4 linked regions of the Arabidopsis thaliana genome follow. The protein of the gene in region 1 interacts with the protein of each later gene in a pairwise test. Each region holds a gene or a part of one and is shown on either strand. Other genes may lie near its edges.

The links.
Region 2: the proteins of KNAT5 (region 1) and BEL1 interact in binary tests that used the Arabidopsis thaliana proteins (3 or more experiments, as listed by UniProt).
Region 3: the proteins of KNAT5 (region 1) and BEL10 interact in binary tests that used the Arabidopsis thaliana proteins (3 or more experiments, as listed by UniProt).
Region 4: the proteins of KNAT5 (region 1) and TERT interact in a two-hybrid assay, tested with the Arabidopsis thaliana proteins (one study listed by BioGRID).

Annotation. Positions count from the first base shown.
Region 1 is NC_003075.7:15,492,395-15,496,888, forward strand, and holds KNAT5 (homeobox protein knotted-1-like 5), read left to right. Parts: upstream 1-1,594; 5' UTR 1,595-1,732; coding exon 1,733-2,275; intron 2,276-2,659; coding exon 2,660-2,780; intron 2,781-2,872; coding exon 2,873-3,072; intron 3,073-3,161; coding exon 3,162-3,293; intron 3,294-3,374; coding exon 3,375-3,514; coding exon of another isoform or gene 3,515-3,518; exon of another isoform or gene 3,519-3,599; coding exon 3,600-3,615; 3' UTR 3,616-3,987; downstream 3,988-4,494. Other genes in the region: AT4G32030 (uncharacterized protein), read left to right, coding at 1-15, 111-173, 253-321, 425-613; AT4G32050 (neurochondrin family protein), read left to right, coding at 4,226-4,421.
Region 2 is NC_003076.8:16,578,009-16,584,582, forward strand, and holds BEL1 (POX (plant homeobox) family protein), read left to right. Parts: upstream 1-1,927; 5' UTR 1,928-2,415; coding exon 2,416-3,273; intron 3,274-3,875; coding exon 3,876-4,267; intron 4,268-5,092; coding exon 5,093-5,153; intron 5,154-5,237; coding exon 5,238-5,762; 3' UTR 5,763-6,069; downstream 6,070-6,574. UniProt on the Arabidopsis thaliana protein: Plays a major role in ovule patterning and in determination of integument identity via its interaction with MADS-box factors. Formation of complex with AG-SEP dimers negatively regulates the carpel identity process and favors the maintenance of ovule identity.
Region 3 is NC_003070.9:6,809,263-6,815,050, reverse strand, and holds BEL10 (BEL1-like homeodomain 10), read left to right. Parts: upstream 1-1,987; 5' UTR 1,988-2,208; intron 2,209-2,293; exon of another isoform or gene 2,294-2,847; intron 2,848-3,056; exon of another isoform or gene 3,057-3,123; 5' UTR 3,124-3,196; coding exon 3,197-3,940; intron 3,941-4,028; coding exon 4,029-4,414; intron 4,415-4,519; coding exon 4,520-4,580; intron 4,581-4,667; coding exon 4,668-5,093; 3' UTR 5,094-5,286; downstream 5,287-5,788. Other genes in the region: AT1G19710 (UDP-Glycosyltransferase superfamily protein), read right to left, coding at 1-131; AT1G19690 (NAD(P)-binding Rossmann-fold superfamily protein), read left to right, coding at 5,489-5,715.
Region 4 is NC_003076.8:5,537,658-5,545,296, reverse strand, and holds TERT (telomerase reverse transcriptase), read left to right. Parts: upstream 1-1,737; 5' UTR 1,738-1,852; coding exon 1,853-2,152; intron 2,153-2,307; coding exon 2,308-2,382; intron 2,383-2,463; coding exon 2,464-2,529; intron 2,530-2,610; coding exon 2,611-2,722; intron 2,723-2,901; coding exon 2,902-3,248; intron 3,249-3,544; coding exon 3,545-3,617; intron 3,618-3,739; coding exon 3,740-3,872; intron 3,873-4,057; coding exon 4,058-4,193; intron 4,194-4,456; coding exon 4,457-5,509; intron 5,510-5,681; coding exon 5,682-6,211; coding exon of another isoform or gene 6,212-6,227; intron 6,228-6,310; coding exon 6,311-6,583; intron 6,584-6,700; coding exon 6,701-6,974; 3' UTR 6,975-7,117; downstream 7,118-7,639. Other genes in the region: AT5G16860 (Tetratricopeptide repeat (TPR)-like superfamily protein), read right to left, coding at 1-1,463; BPA1 (binding partner of acd11 1), read right to left, coding at 7,271-7,639. UniProt on the Arabidopsis thaliana protein: Telomerase is a ribonucleoprotein enzyme essential for the replication of chromosome termini in most eukaryotes. It elongates telomeres.

The sequences.
Region 1 (4,494 bases):
TTGAAGAAGAGGAAGGTAAATATAAAGTCTCCTTTTTGAATTTCAAGTACACACTCCAAAATTCAAATTTTATTGAGCTGATGGTTTTTTATTCTTTTAATATTTGGCAGTCATCTTTTGAGCTTAAAAATGAAGAGAACTTGAAGTTGAAGGAGAGACTTGACCTTGAAAAGGTAGATTTTCGTTGCTATTCTCTGTTTTATTATCATGGTTTTCATTGTATTCTTAAAAAAACCCAATATTTTTCCACAGGAGATTGCAAGTCTCCGAGCAACATTCGATGAACAAAACCTTAGGAACCAAAAGCTGAAGAGGATTAAGGTAACATTTAGATTCTCCCTAACCATCTTTACAGTAATCAGATATTCCAGATCCCTTCTCTCTATTTGCTGGTCTCATCGACTCTTGTGTTTTCTTGTTTCAGCTTGACTTAAACTCAGGCCGTGTCACAAACAAGAAACCTGTTGATTTGATTCGTAAATCACAACTCGAGCGGCTACAGGGATCAAAATCTTGCAAAACCAGTGACTCGCAAAATCAGGGGAGTTTCTTCGTCCTCCCTGATCTCAACATGGCGCCATCCGAGGAAGAGATATTGTACGGAACTAGCTAAAAACTGGCCTATATGAAGATTTGCGATCGAATTATAGTGAAGGGAAGAAGGGAGCTAGAGATGTCAACTAAGAAAAGTGAATGTAATAAGTGGTGTAATGAAACTCTCCCGTCACATTCTGGTTTTCCGTTTCCTTCTTTTTTTGGGGTAAAATGCTCAATTACTTCTTGATTTTTTCTTAGGAAGAGGGTGAAAATTAGGTTTTTACTTTTTACTCCCTCCCTCCCTCCCTCTCTGTTTTCTTTAATTTGATGTGTTAGAAGAAAAAATTTGTTTTAAATAGATGGTGTTATCAATTTTTAATGCAAAATTAACTACTTTTTTTTTTCTTTCTTTCTCTTTGTACCGATTTAAAAGCTTTTGTTGGAAATTGTAAAGAGGAAAAAGTAGGACAACTAATAGACTTTTTATGTTCCAAACATTTTCTTCTTCACTATTCTCCATACATTATTATATTAAAACCCTAGTTTCCGCTCAACTAATCCAAGACAAGAAGATCTATCAATCTCTTTGGACATTCATTTTTCTACTATTTAATTTGAATTTTTATAATATAAACTTGGGAGGTGTAATGCTATTGGTGGGTTGTCGGCGTGTTCATGGAAAAAGATTCGTTTTTAAATGCCCAATAAATTTGAGAAAAAATTGCCAACTTGTTTATGAGCTTATTTTCTTTTTCATGGATCCCAAGTCTTTTGTGTATAGAGATTAAAAAAAAATGACATTCCTTCATGTAAAAAAGAAAAAAATATCTGGGTTTTAAAAATATCTACAATGAGTTTAATGGTAAATATACTTATCATAATTTGGAGAATAAAGACCTAAAGAAGAAAATTACACTCTAGAACAGAAGTTTTGTAAGCAAATCATTGCTCACAAAACTTGTGAATTACAGAATTACAGGCTCTTGTAGGTTGAGTTATTTTATGCTTCATTTTGGTTACAGGCTTTATGTTGACATTAAAACAAAGAGATTGAAGTAGAGTCCAAAAAAAAAAAAAATATATATAAATATAAAATTCAAGATTAATTAAAAAATATTGGTCTTCAGAGAGATAAATAACTAGGGGAAAGAGAAAACAGTCTTCTCTTCTCCGATCCCAAAAACGCAGGAAAACAATGTCGTTTAACAGCTCCCACCTCCTTCCTCCACAAGAAGACCTTCCTCTCCGACACTTCACCGATCAATCACAGCAACCTCCGCCGCAGCGTCACTTCTCTGAAACACCTTCGCTTGTCACCGCCAGTTTCCTCAACCTCCCTACCACCCTTACCACTGCGGATTCCGATCTCGCTCCTCCGCACCGCAACGGAGACAATTCCGTTGCTGATACAAACCCACGCTGGCTCTCCTTTCATTCGGAGATGCAAAATACTGGAGAAGTACGTTCTGAAGTTATCGACGGAGTCAACGCCGATGGTGAAACGATACTCGGCGTTGTAGGAGGTGAAGATTGGCGGAGTGCTAGCTATAAGGCGGCGATTTTAAGACATCCGATGTACGAGCAGCTTCTTGCGGCTCACGTGGCTTGCCTTAGGGTTGCGACTCCCGTTGACCAGATTCCGAGGATCGATGCTCAGCTCAGTCAGTTGCATACCGTCGCCGCGAAATACTCCACTCTTGGTGTGGTTGTTGACAACAAGGAACTTGATCATTTCATGGTAAGTTTCACTTTCTAATTTTGCAAAATTTTAATGTTTTGAACTGTGAACGATTCAGCCATTTATTTCTCTTTGATTATCTGAGTATAGCAAATTCACATTTTTGTGTGGCTCATTGTTCCCGCTTCTCGAGTCTTGCAATCGATATGATCTTTGCTTCTACTTTTTTGGTTAGCTTGTAATTCGAATTATGAACTTTGTCTGACTCAAATAAGTTATATTTGTTGCATAAAGCTTCTTCTTTGATGACTAATAGTTTGTCTGATTCTTGCTGAAAAGGACTTTGCATGTCCAAGAGAAAGAAAGCATAATCTATTTTTTGTAACGTTCTGTTTGTATGTCTTATGGATTGGAATCTTACCTTTGATTATTATGTTGATGCAGTCACATTATGTTGTCTTGTTATGTTCATTTAAAGAACAACTCCAACACCACGTTTGTGTCCATGCAATGGAAGCCATTACGGCTTGTTGGGAGATTGAACAATCACTGCAATCCCTAACTGGTAACGTCCCAAATCATTTTTTTTTTTTGTTATTGTCTTCTTGCTTTATGTGTGTCTTGGTTTTATCGGTTTTTCTTTGTTCTGGTTTGTAGGAGTTTCTCCAAGTGAAAGTAATGGTAAGACAATGTCGGATGATGAAGATGATAATCAAGTAGAGAGCGAGGTGAACATGTTTGATGGAAGTTTGGACGGTTCAGATTGCTTGATGGGGTTTGGTCCTCTTGTTCCAACCGAGAGAGAGAGATCTTTGATGGAACGTGTGAAGAAAGAACTGAAGCATGAGCTTAAACAGGTAATTGCTTGATCAAGCTGCAATGGTACATCAAACTATACAAAACACATTGTTAAATCATGTTGCTCGGTTTCTTTTTTCCCCTGTAGGGTTTCAAAGAGAAGATTGTGGACATAAGAGAAGAGATAATGAGGAAGAGAAGGGCGGGAAAGTTGCCAGGAGATACGACTTCTGTACTCAAAGAATGGTGGCGAACTCACTCGAAATGGCCATACCCAACTGTAAACACCTTGGCCGAGAAGTTTTGTTACCACATTGTCAAAAGCAAGGTTTTAATTCGTGATTTGGTTTTGGAATTGCAGGAGGAAGATAAGGCAAAACTGGTTCAAGAAACCGGTTTGCAGTTGAAACAGATCAACAATTGGTTCATCAACCAGAGGAAAAGAAACTGGAACAGCAACTCTTCCACGTCATCTACTCTCACCAAGAACAAACGTAAACGGTAAAACAAGATCCGTTCTCTTTTTCAAATTGCGCAATTTCATTAAACCAACCCGGTCAAGATCTTCTTTTGTAACCAAACTCAGGACCGGGAAGTCGTAGGTGACATAGCGGCTAACTAGAGGATGGTTCTTTGCCATGTGAATTCTTGGGAACCGTATATGAAAGAAACGAATCCGGTTCTATGCTCGTACAGAGTGTGTTATTTGTATAGTGGATACCGGTTAGCCTATGAAACCGGATTCTGGAGTCCAAATTGTTGTTTGTAACGACTTAGTAGTTTTTGGAAGTGATCTGTTTCGTTGGTTTGCGTCTTGTAACGAACGCTTAAGCAAGTGTGGGTTTTTTCTTGTAAAGTGTCAATATGTTCGTTTGTAATGAATGTATCAAGCAATATTTATCATAATTAAACTAGCTTGAAATGTAGTATTACGATGTTGTTGTGTTCGTCTGATTTCTCTCACCGGTTGATGCATGGTTACGTTCGGCTCGGTTTTTATATGGTTCAATTTTTAATATATCGATAATTTTAAATGATTTCACTTGTATTATTAACAAAGCCCATTGGTATTTGGCCCAAAATCTGAATGCCGACTTAATGACTTGTTTCTTCTTCCTTCAGCTTCTCCAACGAACGGCTTTTGTTTTAGTTTTTTTTGCTTACCTTTCTCTCGACTTGGTCTACTTTTGTTACTCTTTGAGTTGGGTGATTATGGCAGCAGCACCACAGGAGGAACGATCTCCGTCGCTTGACGATTGCCTTAAGCTATTGAAAGGGGAGAGAGACGAGCAGAGGCTCGCCGGTCTACTTCTCGTCACCAAATTCTGTAAGAACGATGACATCGTTTCTCTCAACAAGGTCTACGAAGCCGTTGGTACTCACTTTCTCGACCGTCTTTTCCGTACTGGTAATCAAAACCCCGAATTATTGATCTTTGTCTCAGTAAATACTAATATCAATTTTGGGGTTTCTACAAAGTG
Region 2 (6,574 bases), on another chromosome or scaffold:
AAGAAAGAAATTTGCAAATTTTGTAATAAACACTATTTTTACAACAATTAATAATACATGTGCCAAGCAGAAGAACGACTATATTAGTTTTCTATGTCAACATTTAAGAAACATTTATTTAAAATTTGAATATTTGATTTTGTATGTCAGCAATGTTTAAGAAAACTTTGATTTTTTGTTTTCCTTCTTTTGCGTACATATTAAATGGAATTTAATAGAAAACCATTAAATCTTGATATAATTAACTTCTTCGCCCTTGCAGTTACTAACAAGGAGACTTTTGTTTTGGTACTTTCTCGATTAGTTTAGTGACCGACCAACAACGTATTTTAAAACTCAAAACACAATCTCTTTCACGTACTGTGCGAAGTGCAAGTCGAATAATGACATCAGTCCATTTGTGTTGTATTACACGGGACTACGATCTCTATTCTACTATATATAATTACTATTAATTAAAATGTTTATATAGTTATGATATGGTTGATAGTAATTTAATAGTAATTGTTAAACAGTAGAGAAGTGACACTGAGACATATCTGAGAAAAGCCTGAACTCAACTCCTACTTCTGGTTTGATTTCTTGGGATTCGTTCTCTTTCATTTACTTACCTCTCCATCTATACACCAACATATATATATATATATTGGTATGTTAATTCTCCAAAAAAAAAAAAAACTATTTTAGGAGCAAAACTTTTTCACAGTTATTCATTTTTTAAGTTAACTTAACTTCTCTTCTTTGTTTGAAAATTCATTTATCATCAAATAATTCTGTTATAAATTAGACCTGATAATAATTCTTTAACAAAGAAAATATATTTTAGGAGCAAAATAGGCAGAGCCGCAGAGGCATACATGTATTATATATAACGATTATTTATGTATAGAAAGGGACACCTTTTGTACAAAATACTAGTTAAATTTGTACATTCACGTGACTGGTTGGCTAAATTTAGAATATTATTATTTTCAATTAAAAATCATCGTCAATGTTCAAATATTGCTTGAGATACGCTATGCTTCATAAAAATGTTTAAAAAGTAGTTCCAAAAAATATTTTCACCAAAAAAAAAAGTAGTTCCAAAAATATTCATTTAATAACAAAATTTGCCTACATAAGCTTAGCAAACGACACTAACACCAAAATTGATATCATTTTCTTAGATAACATATTGTATACATATCTACATACATACTAAATACATATACACGTAGATTACACGTATGGATTCAGCAATAAAAATCAAAATACTAAATACATATATACATATATATATATATATATGAACATTTAAATACTAAATTATGTTTAATAAATAATTAAATCAACGTAGAGATATGTCATATGAAGATGGCTTGTATAATTAGTTTGTGTACCGGGCAAAGGATCTCTAATTTTTGTTTTCTTTAGTTCAGTTTAATTATTTGTTATCTATCCAATCAATTTTTTTTCTAAACTGTTTGGACCAATGTACGTACGTACCATCCTTTTTGATTTTTTTTGTAAACTAAATTTTCGAATTAGCAGGTTCTTAATAATTGAACGAAGAAAATAAAGAATAGAGGTAGACACCTGTAGTATTTTCTTGGTCAGACCAATAATTTATAATTCAACGTCAAAGAAGAAGAAAAATATAAACCATTATTTCATTATGACTTACGTATACCAAAATACACAAATTAAATGTATAATTGTGAGGCATTTTATATGCGGGAAAAAATAAAATAAAAAGAATATTAATATTTCTTTTGAAAATTGTAAAGCATTTTGACCCACTTGTGATATATATATATATATAGATATATATAGAGAGAGAGATTAAAACATTGATGGCTAGCTATAGAGTCTATGGCAGGGTCATGATCACCTGTCTTCTGATCTCTGAAGAGATACCAATCTGATTTTTTCTCTTCCTAGGTTTAATTTTATTTTACCATTTTATAATTCTTTATTTTTGCCTGTAGTACAATTTACAGACCCATACTAAAAGAAAAATTAAATTTTGTCAAAGTACAAAACAAAGAGAGAGGTGAAGCCACACAATCTCTTTTCTTCTCTCTCTCTCTGTTATATCTCTTCTGTTTAATTCTTTTATTCTTCTTCGTCTATCTTCTCCTATAATCTCTTCTCTCTCCCTCTTCACCTAAAGAATAAGAAGAAAAATAATTCACATCTTTATGCAAACTACTTTCTTGTAGGGTTTTAGGAGCTATCTCTATTGTCTTGGTTCTGATACAAAGTTTTGTAATTTTCATGGTATGAGAAGATTTGCCTTTCTATTTTGTTTATTGGTTCTTTTTAACTTTTTCTTGGAGATGGGTTCTTGTAGATCTTAATGAAACTTCTGTTTTTGTCCCAAAAAGAGTTTTCTTTTTTCTTCTCTTCTTTTTGGGTTTTCAATTCTTGAGAGACATGGCAAGAGATCAGTTCTATGGTCACAATAACCATCATCATCAAGAGCAACAACATCAAATGATTAATCAGATCCAAGGGTTTGATGAGACAAACCAAAACCCAACCGATCATCATCATTACAATCATCAGATCTTTGGCTCAAACTCCAACATGGGTATGATGATAGACTTCTCTAAGCAACAACAGATTAGGATGACAAGTGGTTCGGATCATCATCATCATCATCATCAGACAAGTGGTGGTACTGATCAGAATCAGCTTCTGGAAGATTCTTCATCTGCCATGAGACTATGCAATGTTAATAATGATTTCCCAAGTGAAGTAAATGATGAGAGACCACCACAAAGACCAAGCCAAGGTCTTTCCCTTTCTCTCTCCTCTTCAAATCCTACAAGCATCAGTCTCCAATCTTTCGAACTCAGACCCCAACAACAACAACAACAAGGGTATTCCGGTAATAAATCAACACAACATCAGAATCTCCAACACACGCAGATGATGATGATGATGATGAATAGTCACCACCAAAACAACAACAATAACAATCATCAGCATCATAATCATCATCAGTTTCAGATTGGGAGTTCCAAGTATTTGAGTCCAGCTCAAGAGCTACTGAGTGAGTTTTGCAGTCTTGGAGTAAAGGAAAGCGATGAAGAAGTGATGATGATGAAGCATAAGAAGAAGCAAAAGGGTAAACAACAAGAAGAGTGGGACACAAGTCACCACAGCAACAATGATCAACATGACCAATCTGCGACTACTTCTTCAAAGAAACATGTTCCACCACTTCACTCTCTTGAGTTCATGGAACTTCAGAAAAGAAAAGCCAAGTTGCTCTCCATGCTCGAAGAGGTATATATATTTTCAAGAAATTATTTCATTACTACTATCAAAACTTACATGAGTTTCTTAGAAAATCTAATCCTTTTTTATTTGGTTTCAACTTATTCCTAAAAATGTAAAATACCCACAAGTCTTTTACAAATCTTTTTTTTTTTCCTTTCATTTGGTTTCAACTTATTCCTAAATATGTAAGATACCCATAAATCTTGTATTTTTTCGATTCTTGATTAGGTCCATATATTTCTTAAAGTTACAAATTTCTTTTAGATATTAAGATAAAAAGATTCTTTTTTGTCTTCATTCTTTCATGTATTCTCGTCGAAAACAAGTTCGATCGTATCAACTACGAAAAGATCAACCCTTTTAATTCCTTTACTCATTATTTCTTTTTTTCTATAGAACCAAAATATAATTTTGTTTTCTTTGCTTTGAGCTAATTTGGAGACTCTAGTGGTCCTCCATATTTATAGCAATCAGTTTCATCATCATAAGCCATAACGAGTTGTTTCTTTTTCGTGTATTTACTCATTCTAAGAATCTACATTTACACGATTGTGATTGAAATCTTTGTGAATGGTGTGGGGTAACGTTTTTTTGCGGTTTTTTGGCAGCTTAAAAGAAGATATGGACATTACCGAGAGCAAATGAGAGTTGCGGCGGCAGCCTTTGAAGCGGCGGTTGGACTAGGAGGGGCAGAGATATACACTGCGTTAGCGTCAAGGGCAATGTCAAGACACTTTCGGTGTTTAAAAGACGGACTTGTGGGACAGATTCAAGCAACAAGTCAAGCTTTGGGAGAGAGAGAAGAGGATAATCGTGCGGTTTCTATTGCAGCACGTGGAGAAACTCCACGGTTGAGATTGCTCGATCAAGCTTTGCGGCAACAGAAATCGTATCGCCAAATGACTCTTGTTGACGCTCATCCTTGGCGTCCACAACGCGGCTTGCCTGAACGCGCAGTCACAACGTTGAGAGCTTGGCTCTTTGAACACTTTCTTCACCCGTAAGTTATTTCATATACATCCTCTTAATATATTTACACATACCTAAAAGTTACTAATTGTGTCTTTCTGAAGTGATCAATGAAGGTAGAATCACAAGTTAATTGGGTATATTTATGGAGCTATATAAAACCTCTTTAACGATTTTATTTCATTGATAGTACGTTGATAAATAGTATGATAGGTTTTTTTTGTTTGTTACATGAATATTTTTGAACATATAAAAGTAAAAAAATATGTACATTTTATATAGAGAGATTGAGATTGACTTGACAAGCATAGGATACAATCTACCTTAATCTGTTAATTGCATATAGCTTTTTTATTTTCCTTTTTCTTTCATTTGCACTATTGGTGTGAAAGTGAGTGTACAAACATATACATATACACATGTATATATATGTATACGAACATATAAAATTAAATAAAATAAATTTAACTGGTGGATGAAAGACAGAAATAGAGAAAGGTACAAAGTGGATTGAGAGAGAGAATCAATGTTCTTTACCTAACACTAACAAAAGAGAGAAACTATACATAACTCCTTGCTTTTTTCTCCATGTTTTTATTTTGTTCTTTTTCTTCTACTTTTTATTTATTTAATTTACAGAAGTTATATGTTTATCATCATATGTAACACTTGTCTCCATCAATTCCCAAACACTGCTCAAACAATGAAACATCTTGTTAGTTTTCACCAAACCCTTTACCTTTGCTTCCATTTTATTTGCATCATTCTTCAATCATTTATATCCTTTTTTTTAATTACATATCCATTTGTCTTATATTTTTCCATTAAAGTAAAATTTTCTTATTTTTGTTTTCAGATATCCGAGCGATGTTGATAAGCATATATTGGCCCGACAAACTGGTTTATCAAGAAGTCAGGTAAAGAATAACTCCACTAATTCTTGATATATTCCAAAATTTATTATCCTATTTACTAAAGTTATAATAAACCAAAATTGTTAGGTATCAAATTGGTTTATTAATGCAAGAGTTAGGCTATGGAAACCAATGATTGAAGAAATGTACTGTGAAGAAACAAGAAGTGAACAAATGGAGATTACAAACCCGATGATGATCGATACTAAACCGGACCCGGACCAGTTGATCCGTGTCGAACCGGAATCTTTATCCTCAATAGTGACAAACCCTACATCCAAATCCGGTCACAACTCAACCCATGGAACGATGTCGTTAGGGTCAACGTTTGACTTTTCCTTGTACGGTAACCAAGCTGTGACATACGCTGGTGAAGGAGGGCCACGTGGTGACGTTTCCTTGACGCTTGGGTTACAACGTAACGATGGTAACGGTGGTGTGAGTTTAGCGTTGTCTCCAGTGACGGCTCAAGGTGGCCAACTTTTCTACGGTAGAGACCACATTGAAGAAGGACCGGTTCAATATTCAGCGTCGATGTTAGATGATGATCAAGTTCAGAATTTGCCTTATAGGAATTTGATGGGAGCTCAATTACTTCATGATATTGTTTGAGATTAAAAGATTAGGACCAAAGTTATCGATACATATTTTCCAAAACCGATTCGGTTATGTAACGGTTTAGTTAGATAAAAACCAAATTAGATATTTATATATACCGTTGTCTGATTGGATTGGAGGATTGGTGGACAAGGAGATATTATTAATGTATGAGTTAGTTGGTTCGTCAATATCACTTGTAGGATATTTTCATTTTGTTTTTTAAAATATATTATTGAGAGGTTTTTTTCTCAATCTAATACTTTTTTCTTAATGTAAATCATATATATTTTTGTTTAAGGAAATATTATCAAGTGTCTTTTCAAATCTGTTTTCATATTCTAGGACCATCTCAAACTATTTGGAAACATTCAATCCCTTAAAATTTTGTTTTTCTTATAAATTTGGTTTCAAAATTTCGAAAAGTAAATGGATATATAGTTTTTTTTAAAGTATGTTGAGTGTCTGTACATGACAATCGTTTACGTATATACTTGATACAAATTATAAAATTGAATGTGTGTAACTGTGTATAATATACACATAAATAGATATCACACAAACATGGACGAGTGAAATTTGTGTAGTTGGCATGCATTATACGGATTTGGAATCGAATAGATACGACTTCAGTAACGAAAATCACTAGACCATCATATTTATATAAAGACATAATTAGAGAGAGTGTATGGTCTTTGTGTTATTAATGACAAAACCTAATAAAATAAAGTTGACGACAAACATAATAAAGAAAGAACAAACTGACTATTGGACCATCTCGGTCGATCGATAACGTTCACGTGTACACTCCCGTATACATATAAAGT
Region 3 (5,788 bases), on another chromosome or scaffold:
ACACTACAGGAATCAAAAGTAGATCTCACGAGAATCATTCCTACTGTTGATACAGATAAAACCAATAGAATCATCAGTGGCCATCTCTTCTTCTGCAATGTTGCCCACATACTCGTTGATGGCTTCGCCATTGTTTCTCTCTACAGCTTAGAATCACATCCTAGGGTTTACACAGTAACAATCGATCTCAGAACTTTCTAAGGATCTGTCGTCAGTGATGGAGAAAGCTTGGAACGAAGAAGTTTAGAGGAGAGATTTAATGGGGAAAAGCCGCTAATCAGTGTTGACTCTTTGCAGAAGTTTGCAATTCACGCCGTTTTTGTTATTTAGAAGGAAGTTGATTGCCGTTTCTCAGCAGGCCCCCGATGGAATCCTCTCTTCATATTTATAATGGGCTTTAAAAGGCCTATTTGCTAAAAGCCTAAAACTAAACTAGTTATGATGATAGTTAATGCATACTATATGGTTTTAATTCTTTTTTTTTCTTAAGCTAAGCTAGGCTTCAGATTAGTTTTGCTGATACAATTTTGGTTTGGTTTTGTTTGGTTCTAATAATGGAGAGCATAATGATTTCGATCCATAGAATATAAATGTTACAAACATGAATTTTAGTGGTGATGATCCGTCTTCATATATGGTCCAACAATGTATGTGGCAATAAATTCTTTTACTTTTTGTTACACGGCCATAACTTGTGGCTATTTATTATAAAGTTTTTTTTCGGATATATCCATGTAATTAATATATTTGACAATTGGCAAGAATTATTATACTTCAACATTTTCCTCCAAACCAAAGGTTGTTCATTTCTTACTCACACACATTTTCCTCGTTTAGCATCATCGATTCATCCTCAACTTTAAAATATGATTTACAGAACCATACGGTTTTAAAAATAATTACATCATTAATAATCTAAATTTTTAGTAGATTTAATCAATCTCTCACCAGCTAACTGCCTAATTAATTTATTTTTAATCATCATTATAAATCAAGATCCACGTGGAAACAAAAGTCAATATCATCATCTCTCAAAGACTCAAAACACATGAATAATAATTTTCCAACACAATGGTACTTGCCAAATGATTTTGTGTCGGCTGCTCTAAATCCAATCTCCAACAAACCAAAACGAAACTACTTGTTATTTTAAAAATCAGAGGAAATGGATTATATTATTAGTGTAGCTATAAAGATAATCTTTTACGTATTCTTCATTGTGGAATATGCAAATACAAACATGTAAGTGTATAACTAAAAGGTTTATAACAAAAGAAATAAAAAGACAAGAGAACTTAGAATAAAAATTGGGTATAACAGAAGAGTAAGGAGGGACTCACCAACTGGTTGTTAAGTCATTTAATCCATCAATTAAGCAATTGAGCAGACACACACCCACCTTTGTTTTATCTTCTTCCTTAAACCAGCTTATCAGGGTCAGTTTTGTAATCTCATATTCCTACCTATAATGACGTTTCTATGTTTTATTTGATGGAGTTTAATTTCCGCTACCATGCATAACTAAAAGTATATCCGTTATATCAAACATTTAAAGAAAACCTCAAAGATATTGAACTACAAAGTGCTCAAGAAGTTCTATTAAAAATGTATCGAACTTTAACTTTATGATGAAAGCAAGGTGATAAGAACAAATAGTTTAAAAAAACATTTTAGTTTGAAATCCAAATCTAGACTCTATAATTTGTGGCAGGTAATAATTTCACTATTTTGGAGCCTCACGTACACAAATCAGGAAGTCGTTAAAAGTTTCCCACGATACCATGGTAATGTACGCATTATAGATTATTTCGTTTAAATAGTTAGATTTGGTTTTTTTTTTTAATATACAAATACTAAACTTTTCATATATAAACACTCATTCCTTCAACTTTTTTCTTTTGGTTGTATTTAGTTAACTTATACGGAAAAGTAGTATGAGTCTCAAGTCAATGACAACACAACATCATTAAAGTATAATACAATCATCTATAAAAATCCATTTATTTGTGTGTGTGGAATTGTTAAGTTTTGTATGTTAAAGTCGTCATAAGAAATATTATCACGTAATCAAGAAAAGAAAATTGGTGATTTGTAAGCTCTCACGTGTTTCTCTATGAATGGTTGGCACACAAAAAAAATCATATTAATTTATCTTTACTCTAAGCATCAGAAACAGAAGCTTCTGCCGCAAAAAATTAAAAATTACAGGTAGCGGTTGTCAAATTTTTCCGGTAGTGATCATTATTTTATTTTATTGTTGATATTGCATAATAATATTTTTAAAAATTGGGTTGGTGTCTAATGTCCCAATGATAAGTTGGGTTGGTTTTATTGTTCTTGTGGACTGAAAAAAATTTGTTTATTTAAGAATTTTGCAATTATTAATCGCCTCTTTCTCTATCTCTCTCGGGATTGGGTCTCAAATCTTTTTTTGTCTTCAACTGTTCGAAACTCTTCTGCTTTTGTGTTTCCTGATTCAGCCACATCCACACTCACAAACACAATCTCTAGGTTTTTTTTCTTCCTTTTAACTTTGATTCTCTCCCTCAGGTAGTTTTTAAAAATTCAAGTTCTTGATTCTTGATTCTTGATATGATTAATCTTGTACTGTGTTTCTTGATTATTATTTTTTGTATACTTTCTGTGTTTTTTTTCTCCCTTGCTTTTTGGAAATTCTCCTACAAGAGATGAAATCATCAAGACACTTTACTTCTTTATGTAATAATTGAATCTTCTCTGCTTTTGACTCACTACGTTGAGCTACACAATTTCTTTTTACTCTGCATTTTTTTTTCCAACCTCAAATTAGGGTTTTTTTCTCCTCTCAATTTCACCTCCATAGATCGGGTATTCCTCTACGATTACACAATTCCTGTATTGGGTTTTTCTGGGTTTCTTCAGTTCTTCACGAAAAACATTTGCTTTTTATCAAGAATTTGACTTTAATCCTCCGAATAATTTGGTCCGATTCTGTTTGTTGCTTTCGAAACTGTTTATGTATGATATATAAAAAAAATGGTTTGGTGTGAAATGATTACGATGTTTTAACCTCTCTTAGATTCCATCAGAAATTTTTAAAATTCCACACCTTACACGACTCTTCTTCCTCTTATTTTTTTGCAGGATCTCATTTCCCGACCAAACTCATCGAACTAAGAACTCACTGTAATAAAACTTTTAAAAGGTGTAAACACCAATGGCAGTTTATTACACAAGTAATGTCGGTTGTTACCAGCAAGAACCAATCTTTCTCAACCATCAACAACAAAACCAACAAGCTTCTTCTTCATCCGCCGCCGCTTCTTTCACCGTCACCGGCGGCGATACTGTTCGAAACGAGATGGTTTTTATCCCACCAACCACCACAGGAGACGTTGTAACAGGAAACGGTACCGTTTCAAGCAGCGATCTAAGCTTTCACGATGGTCAAGGACTGTCTTTGAGCCTTGGTACTCAGATCTCTGTTGCTCCGTTTCACTTTCATCAATACCAATTGGGGTTTACTAGTCAGAATCCTTCAATTTCAGTCAAGGAAACGTCACCGTTTCATGTGGATGAGATGAGTGTGAAGAGCAAAGAAATGATCTTGTTGGGTCAATCTGATCCTTCCTCTGGTTATGCTGGTAATGGTGGGAATGGCTTCTACAACAATTATCGGTATAATGAGACATCAGGAGGGTTTATGAGCAGCGTTCTGCGTTCTCGGTATCTTAAACCTGCTCAGAATTTGCTTGATGAAGTGGTTAGTGTCAAGAAAGAACTAAACCAAATGGGGAAGAAGAAGATGAAAGTTAATGACTTTAACAGTGGTTCTAAGGAGATAGAAGGAGGAGGTGGTGAGTTATCGAGTGATTCGAATGGGAAATCGATTGAGTTATCTACAATTGAACGTGAAGAGCTTCAGAACAAGAAGAACAAGCTTTTAACAATGGTTGATGAGGTAACTAACTTACATTTCATAAAACTACCTTTGGTTTATAACAGGATTGATGGTGATTTGGTTGTTGTGGATGTGTTAATGGTTGCAGGTAGATAAAAGATATAACCAATATTACCATCAAATGGAAGCATTAGCTTCATCATTTGAGATAGTAGCAGGACTTGGATCAGCTAAGCCTTACACATCAGTTGCTCTCAACAGAATCTCTCGCCATTTTCGTGCTCTTCGCGACGCAATAAAGGAACAAATTCAGATTGTTAGAGAAAAACTTGGGGAGAAAGGAGGAGAGTCGTTGGATGAGCAACAAGGAGAGAGGATACCAAGGTTGAGGTATTTAGATCAACGGTTGAGACAGCAAAGAGCTTTGCATCAACAGCTTGGAATGGTTCGACCTGCTTGGAGACCTCAAAGAGGTCTTCCTGAAAACTCTGTCTCTGTTCTTCGCGCTTGGCTCTTTGAACATTTCCTTCATCCGTAAGTGTTTCTTCTCTCACAAGTCACAAGTCACAATCTTTCAATCTCCCAGTACAAAACATTTAGAGAGACTCTATGTTTTTCTTCTGTTTTTTTTATTTGTAGATATCCGAAAGAATCTGAGAAAATCATGCTTGCAAAGCAGACAGGATTGTCAAAGAACCAGGTATAAACCAAGCTTTTGGTCTTCACTTAAAATTTGCACCCTTTGTGTTCTGCTTGAATAATTCTGGTTTCTCTGCTAAATGATTAGGTTGCTAATTGGTTCATAAACGCGAGAGTTCGTCTGTGGAAACCGATGATCGAAGAAATGTATAAAGAAGAGTTTGGTGATGAATCTGAGTTACTAATCTCCAAATCTTCCCAAGAACCCAACAGCACAAACCAAGAAGACTCCTCATCGCAGCAGCAGCAGCAGCAAGAGAACAACAACAACAGCAACCTCGCTTATTCATCTGCAGACACAACAAACATTGTCTTCTCATCAGAAACCAAACCAGATCGTGTTCTAGGCAATGATAACGACCCACAGCAACAACAGATAAACCGCTCATCGGATTACGACACTCTGATGAACTATCACGGGTTTGGTGTTGATGATTACCGTTACATTAGCGGAAGCAACCAGCAAGAAAGCAGATTCTCCAATTCCCATCACTTACACGACTTTGTTGTGTGATATTATCTGGTTCTTCTTGGTACAGAGGAGATGATTCTTGAAGCGCAAGAAATGTGCTTTTGCATTTTTATAGTATTAGGCATAATACACCCATTCTCTATGGATTATATAGTAGATGTGTAGGTTGCTTTTGTGTATAGTAGACTCTTAAGCCAAATATTGATATGTGTGTATAATAATATTCACGGTGGTATAAAGGATACTTGCAAGTGTGAAAAAATCTGAACTTGAGACTTTTGTGGTAAATGTTTCACGATTCTTTATAGTATATATCACTGGACTGTAAAAACGAAATGCAGTCCTTGATTTTGAAAACAAAACGGCACGTAGTTTCTTTGTACTGTGAATCAGTTAAAGTACAACAGACCTTGGAGTCTCTCAGTCCTCCGATTTCAATGGCGGTTTTTCAGTTACCAAGTTTGTCACCGGAGATTCCTTTCCGTTTTACTCCCACACCACTTAAATTTTCAAATCGTAGGAGAATCAACTTTTTCCGGCCATTATCAGCAACCGACGATTCTCGATCCGGTGCACCAGATCCAGAATCGCCGAACCAAATGTTCATTCTCGGGATGGGATTCGTCGGAGGTTTTTTTGCGCAACAGCTCAAAGAATCAGACTGGTCTGATATCTCAGTTTCTCTCCTTATCTCTATATCTATCTATTTTCATCTTTCTCCGATGGTGTTAACAATT
Region 4 (7,639 bases), on another chromosome or scaffold:
GCACATGCCACGAGGGCACATGATATGGTAAAAGCATTTGGTCTTGTTTGGCAATCTTCCTCAAACATCTCAGATAAAAGTTCGAGAGCTTTATTTGCATCCCCGTGCTGGGAGTATCCACCTATCATCACAGTCCAAGTCACAACATCCCTTTCCTTGGGGGAAAGTGAATCAAACATAGCACGTGCAGTATCAACCTTTTTGCACTTAGCGTACATGTCAATCAGTTGATTGATTACCATATTCTCATCACCATGACCGTTCTTACGCAAGTCTATGGGATATTTGATGGCATAACAATGAATCTCTTTACCATGCATCAATGCTCCAACAGAAGCACAACCCGAAAGAACCGAAATAAGCGTGACTTCATTTGGTTTTATCCCAGAAGACAACATCTGCCTACACACACCCAAAGCTTCATATCCAAGTCCCCGTTGAGCATACCCTGAAATAGCAGCACTCCAAGTAACAACATCCATTTTTATTTTCTCTTCCTGCATCTTCTCAAATAACCTAACAGCATCTTCAAACCTTCCAATCTGTGAATACCCAGCAACCATAGCATTCCAAGATACTACGTCCTTCACTGACATGTTCGAAAACACCGTGTTTGCCTCATCCATCATCCCACACTTTGCATACATATCCACCAAGCAATTCCCTACAAACATATTCTGTATCATCTCACTTGTGACTGCAAAACAATGCAATTGCTTCCCTAGTGAATGAGTTCCTAGGGAAGCACAAGGAGGAAGAACATTCACAAGGGTAATATTATCAGGTCTACATCCGAATTCATTGGTCATCCTGCTAAACATTTCAAGCGCCACCTTAGGTTTGCCTAACTTTGCATAACTTTCTATTATAGAGTTCCACGATACAACATCCCAAACAGACATTTCGTCGAACACCTTCCGTGCATCACTCAATGAACGACAACGGGAATACATAGCAACAAGCGCATTCCCAACAAAGACATTGGAGATAAATCCAGTTACCAGAGAAAGCGCGTGAGCAGATTCTCCACAACGAACGGAGGATATCTCGCCGCAAGCCTTGAAGACGAAGGGGAATGTGTAATTATCCGGCGTCCATGACAGAGAATGCATAAGGCCGAACAAATAGAGACATTTATTGGCGCAGCCATTGTCGCCGTAGCTGCGAATGAGTGAATTCCAATGGTAGACACCAGCGTCAGATGGAGGAAAACGACGGAGGAGAGATACGGCATGAGATAAGCAACCGACGGAGATATAGGTGGAAATGAGGTGGGAAGTGAGATTCAAGGTTAGGATTCCGAAAGAGAGGAGTTTCTGGTGAATAAGCTTGACCTGAGAGATGGTTTTGCATTTGTGAATAAACGGCGGTGTTATCTCCGGCGCCGATGTCGAGAAGAGAGAGACTTTAATGTACTGGTGAGATTTTGCGGCGGCGTTGGGGATGAGAAGGCGGCGGATCATACTACTGTAACTAGAGTGGCGGGTGATTTCTGCGTTTAAACTAAACAAATCAATTCGGTTATATCCCGGTTTTAGATTGGAAATTTGAAGAAAGTAATGAAACCGGATGTGAAAAGAAGAAGAAAGTATAATAGACCGATTAAAATTTAAAGCGAATTTCGGTTCGGTTTATGTGCTAAGCGACCTGCGTTTGCGGTTGAGTGGACGCTTTGGATAGCGTTTGTAGCTCAGCTTTGAATTGTTTTGAAATTTTCAAAATCGCAGTTTATAGTTTCGAGAACCCAGAAGACCTTTAATCTCCCGCCTCTTTCACACCATCAGACTCCATTATCGAAGCTCGTTCACTCTTCTCTCTCTCCAAATTCGAGAGAAAGGAGGAGGAAGGTGTAATGCCGCGTAAACCTAGACATCGTGTACCGGAGATTCTATGGAGGTTATTCGGAAACAGAGCCAGGAATTTAAACGACGCAATAGTAGATCTGATTCCTAACCGGAATATCCAGCCGGAGCAATGCCGATGCCGGGGTCAAGGTTGTCTCGGTTGCAGCAGCGATAAACCGGCGTTTCTGCTGCGTTCCGATGATCCCATTCACTACCGTAAACTTCTTCACCGTTGCTTCGTTGTACTTCACGAACAAACCCCTCCGCTTCTGGATTTCTCTCCAACATCTTGGTGGTCACAGAGAGAGGTAAGATTCTTCTTCCCACTGTACTATACATTGCTTTGAGTGCTTAATTTGAGATATTTCAAGACGTGGCTACTCCTTATAAAATGCCTCTATGTTATCTTATTTTGTATGATGTTGCTGATTTCTAAACATTTTGCTTCAATTGAGTTTATCAGATTGTTGAAAGGATTATTGAAATGATGCAATCTGGATGTGATTGCCAAAATGTGATATGTGCCAGATATGATAAGGTGAATTCTTCTTCTTCCTTCTCAAACTCAATGTAGAGTGCTGATTTTCTTAGCCTAATGATTTCTCGTCTCCTTTGACAGTATGATCAGTCGAGCCCTATTTTGGAGCTATTGACAAGTTCATCTTGGGAGTTTCTTCTCAAGCGGGTTTGTTCTCAAACCCTTTTGATGATTTACTTTCAATATTCGAGTTTGCGGTCACTAATATTCAAGTTCCCTTGTTTATAGGTCGGTCATGACGTCATGGTTTATCTTCTACAGCAAACATCAATATTCTTACCATTACTAGGGAAAAAACACCAGCAAGTGTCTGGACCTCCTCTATGTATCAAGCATAAGCGTGAGTCTCAGAATTAAACTTGTATCCGAGCTCTTCTGTTGGCTTTCTTTTGAAACTTCCACTTTCTTGTTGGTTCTCTGAATACTTATGATTTGTCTGTGACTGCTTGGTTATCGATTATCAACTTCTGGTTTTTAGTTCATATTAACTTAGTAAAGTTTTCCTTCTCCATGGTATAGGGACATTGTCAGTCCATGAAAACAAAAGAAAGAGGGATGACAACGTTCAGCCACCAACGAAAAGGCAGTGGCTTTCTTCAGCTGTCGATGACTGTCCTAAGGATGACTCTGCAACTATTACGCCCATAGTTGGCGAGGATGTAGACCAACATAGAGAGAAAAAAACTACTAAGCGTTCAAGAATATATCTTAAGCGTCGGCGAAAGCAGAGAAAGGTCAATTTCAAAAAAGTTGACTGTAATGCTCCTTGTATAACTCCCAGTACAAATGGTAAAGTCTCAACTGGTAATGACGAAATGAATCTGCACATTGGTATAAATGGAAGTCTCACTGATTTTGTAAAGCAGGTAATGTTCGTAACAATGATATTGATCAATCAAGTTTAAGTTGAAAATGCACAAGTTTAAACATAAAGTTATTGCTTAAAATTACTAAGAGACGTGTATAAATTGCTCTTGATTTATCCTCAGCCTTGAGAAATTGATGGGACTATTTTTGTAGTTGTACTTTGGTGTATTTTAAAAACTGTATCATTTATCTTGTTGTATTCTGGTGGTTATTAATATTCTTCCTGACACTTCATTACCTTCAAATTCGACAATCTGTTCTTGTATTTGTAAGATTTAATCACTGTTTTTTGTAGGCTAAACAGGTTAAAAGAAACAAGAATTTCAAGTTTGGCCTCTCAGAAACGTATTCAGTTATACCACCAAACCGTATCCTTCAGTGGTTTTGACATGTTCAATGACTTGTAGCAACGATAGCTTGATGGAAGTTTAAACGTTACTCTTCTCTATACAGTTCTTCTGCATTGTGAATGATTCCTTATGATATACAGACATTTTAAAAACCTTGAGGCCCAACTGCTCTGATTCAAAGCTCCTAATGAACCATATATTTGGTGAAGTAAATGTTTGGTCAACGACGCCATCTCATGGCAAAGGCAATTGCCCCAGTGGATCTATTTGCTTGTAAGTCATCCATTTATTCTTGTAAGTTCTTCGGCTTACTCTGAGACTTGGAGCATGTATTCAGATAATGTAGAGCACATATCTAAGTAGTCTGAGTTATAAAAGGAATTTGTTTAAAAGTTTTGTTGAGGTAACTGATGCAAAGAAGAAAATGATATCATGATGTCTTTTACATTGATTTGCAGATACCATTCATTGCTCAAGTCTCTTAAAAATCTAATAGGAAAAACAAAGTCTTCACATTTAAAAATGCTACTAGACAAACACTGTCCTGTTCTCTTGCTGCAAGAGGATGCATTGAAGTCCGGAACGACTTCTCAGGTTGATATTTTTCTTTTAGAGATGGTTTTCATATTTAATTTCCCTAGCGTTTTTCGTTTGATGTCTTTTGAGTATTTCTATTTCAGAGAAGTTATGTTGAATATTCGAATATGTACAACAAAAAGAAACTAGAAATGGAAAATCAACACAGTTGCTACTTTATAGACTTTGGATATATAGTGCAAACCTGCATAAGAATTCATATCCGTGGCACTTCCAAGTGCTTCCTTGAAGTGACGAACCTTGCATATCTTGTATTACAGAGTTCAAGGAGGCAAAAAGCAGATAAGCTGCCTCATGGATCAAGTTCATCACAAACGGGAAAACCCAAATGTCCCAGTGTTGAAGAAAGGAAGCTGTATTGCACGAACGACCAAGTAGTTTCCTTTATTTGGGCCATCTGTAGGTACATTGTTCCAGAAAGTTTGCTTGGGACCACTCATCAGATGAGGGTGCTTAGGAAAAATATAGCGTGGTTTGTTTCAAGGCGACGAAATGAGAAATGCACAGTGAATCAGTTTTTGCATAAAGTGAAACCATCAGATTTCCCATTCTTTGCTAGAAAAGAGTTATGCTGTATGGTCAACGGACATGAACTCCAAAGTGAATCCATCAGAAGTACACAGCAGATGTTGTGCACGAAATGGATTTCTTGGCTTTTTTTAGAGATTGTCAAGAAATTGGTGCACTTCAACTTCTATGCCACTGAAAGCCAAGGAGGACGGCTAAATATTTATTATTACCGGAAAAGGAGCTGGGAAAGATTAATAAGCAAAGAAATTAGCAAAGCCCTTGATGGATATGTCCTAGTAGACGATGCTGAAGCTGAAAGTAGCAGGAAGAAGCTATCAAAGTTTAGATTTTTACCAAAGGCCAATGGTGTGAGGATGGTGTTAGACTTTAGTTCTTCGTCAAGGTCGCAATCTCTTCGTGATACACATGCTGTTTTGAAGGACATCCAGCTCAAAGAACCAGATGTTCTTGGGTCTTCTGTCTTTGACCATGATGATTTCTACAGAAACCTATGCCCATATCTGATCCATTTAAGAAGTCAATCTGGAGAACTTCCTCCTTTGTACTTTGTGGTTGCGGATGTATTCAAAGCATTTGATTCAGTCGACCAGGGTAAGCTGCTTCATGTCATTCAAAGTTTTCTGAAAGATGAATACATCTTAAACAGATGTAGGCTGGTCTGCTGTGGGAAGAGATCCAATTGGGTAAACAAAATACTAGTCTCGAGTGACAAAAATTCTAACTTTTCAAGATTCACATCAACTGTTCCATATAATGCACTGCAAAGTATCGTGGTTGATAAGGTATGCTTCTTTTTGACCTAGAGCTTTTTGATCTTTTTGCAGAGGGTAAAATACAAAACTATTGGACTACTTAAAAAAATCTCTAGAGATCTCTTTTCTTAGTGCTTGTAGCGTCCCTGTTGTTCTTTACTTATTTGCTTAACGGTGTTATGGTTTTGGTCCAACCTTCTAGGGAGAAAACCATCGAGTGAGGAAAAAGGATCTAATGGTTTGGATAGGAAATATGCTAAAGAACAACATGCTGCAGTTGGATAAAAGCTTCTATGTACAAATAGCTGGAATACCTCAGGGACACAGATTATCATCCTTGTTATGTTGTTTTTACTACGGGCATCTCGAGAGGACTTTGATCTACCCATTCCTCGAAGAAGCCTCTAAAGATGTGTCTTCTAAAGAATGCAGTAGAGAGGAAGAGCTTATAATTCCCACGAGCTATAAGTTACTGAGATTTATTGATGACTACCTTTTTGTGTCTACCTCAAGAGATCAGGCGAGTAGCTTCTATCACAGGTTGAAGCATGGATTTAAAGATTACAACTGCTTCATGAACGAAACAAAATTCTGCATAAATTTTGAAGATAAAGAAGAACATAGGTGTTCTTCTAATAGAATGTTTGTGGGAGATAATGGAGTTCCTTTTGTCAGATGGACGGGTTTGCTTATTAATTCCCGCACATTTGAAGTTCAAGTTGACTACACAAGGTCTGCCTCATCTCCTGTATGTTTCCTTCATAAGTATACTTGTTTGGCTCTGTTTCCTCAGCTTTTATTTATAATTTTGCCTCAAATTCATGGAAACAGGTACTTGAGTGGCCATATAAGCTCAACTTTTTCTGTAGCTTGGCAGAACAAACCAGTTAGAAATCTTCGGCAAAAATTGTGTTACTTCTTGGTTCCGAAATGTCATCCAATTCTATTTGACTCGAACATCAACTCGGGAGAAATCGTCAGGTTAAACATCTATCAGATCTTTCTGTTGGCTGCAATGAAGTTTCACTGTTATGTCTACGAGGTGTCCCGGTTTTGGAAGCTTCATCCTCAAACTTTGTTCAAATTCATCACAATATCTGTCAGGTATGGAATCAAAACTACATCATATGTCTGTGAGCATTTCGGTTTTTGGATCATTCTGATTTGAGTTATTCGGTCTTTTTTTGCTTATTCGGTTCTTGATTTCTTTCCAACTGATAGGTACATGTTCAGACTCATAAATAGAAGGGTGCGCAGAATCAACACTGGTTCTAGTTTCAGACCAGTTCTTAAACTATACAAAGAAGAAGTGATATGGCTTGGCTTAGACGCTTATATTCAAGTTCTGAAGAAGAAAAACTCGAGATATCGAATGCTCTTGATCTATTTAAAATCTGCACTTTCTAAACACTCTCTTTCTCAGCAGCTATCGTCGGAATTGAGGTATGCAACAGACCGGTCAAACTCTTCTTCGCTGTGGAAGTTGAATTATTGAAACTGATCTTAACTAGATTTTATCATCGAAACTTAGGTAGATCCTTTAAATTTCTATTTCAGTCATTTTGATAATCTAGGAACAAAATGGATTTGTAACATTTAGGGTAAAGAAAGATTTAAATGTCAACTTATTAAATATGTATATTGGAAAAAACCCAAACTATAGTCTAATAGTGGTAGGGAAAATCCAGGCATAGCTTATATGGTACATCCCAAAGACCAAACCAGATTTCCAACTTCCATGTCAAAGAAACCAACAAGGAGAAACAAAGGAAACTGTTTAACTTGATGATATTAGTTCTTCGAGTATTCGGACGAATGAATCGGAGAATACCCTTCTGGCAGTTGCTGCTGCGACTGTGCTGGTTGCGATGGTTGCTCAGCTTCAACCTTCTCTTTTGTTTTCTGTCCAACCTCTCCAGCTGCTTGAGCCACTCTATTGAATGCTCCTGCGGCCCAGCTCACACCAGTTAACACGTAACGGTTCTTCATCACAGCGCTTCCTGCACTGCTCACAGTCTGCTCCGCAGCTGCATACACAGACTTGGTCCTCTCTGTTACCTGAAAGTTTTGGTCCACCGCCTTGATTTTTTCGTTCACCAAGCTTGTTCCAGCTGTAAGTTTCTGGCTAAGACCGATTTTTTGGTCTAGTGAAGCAACTCC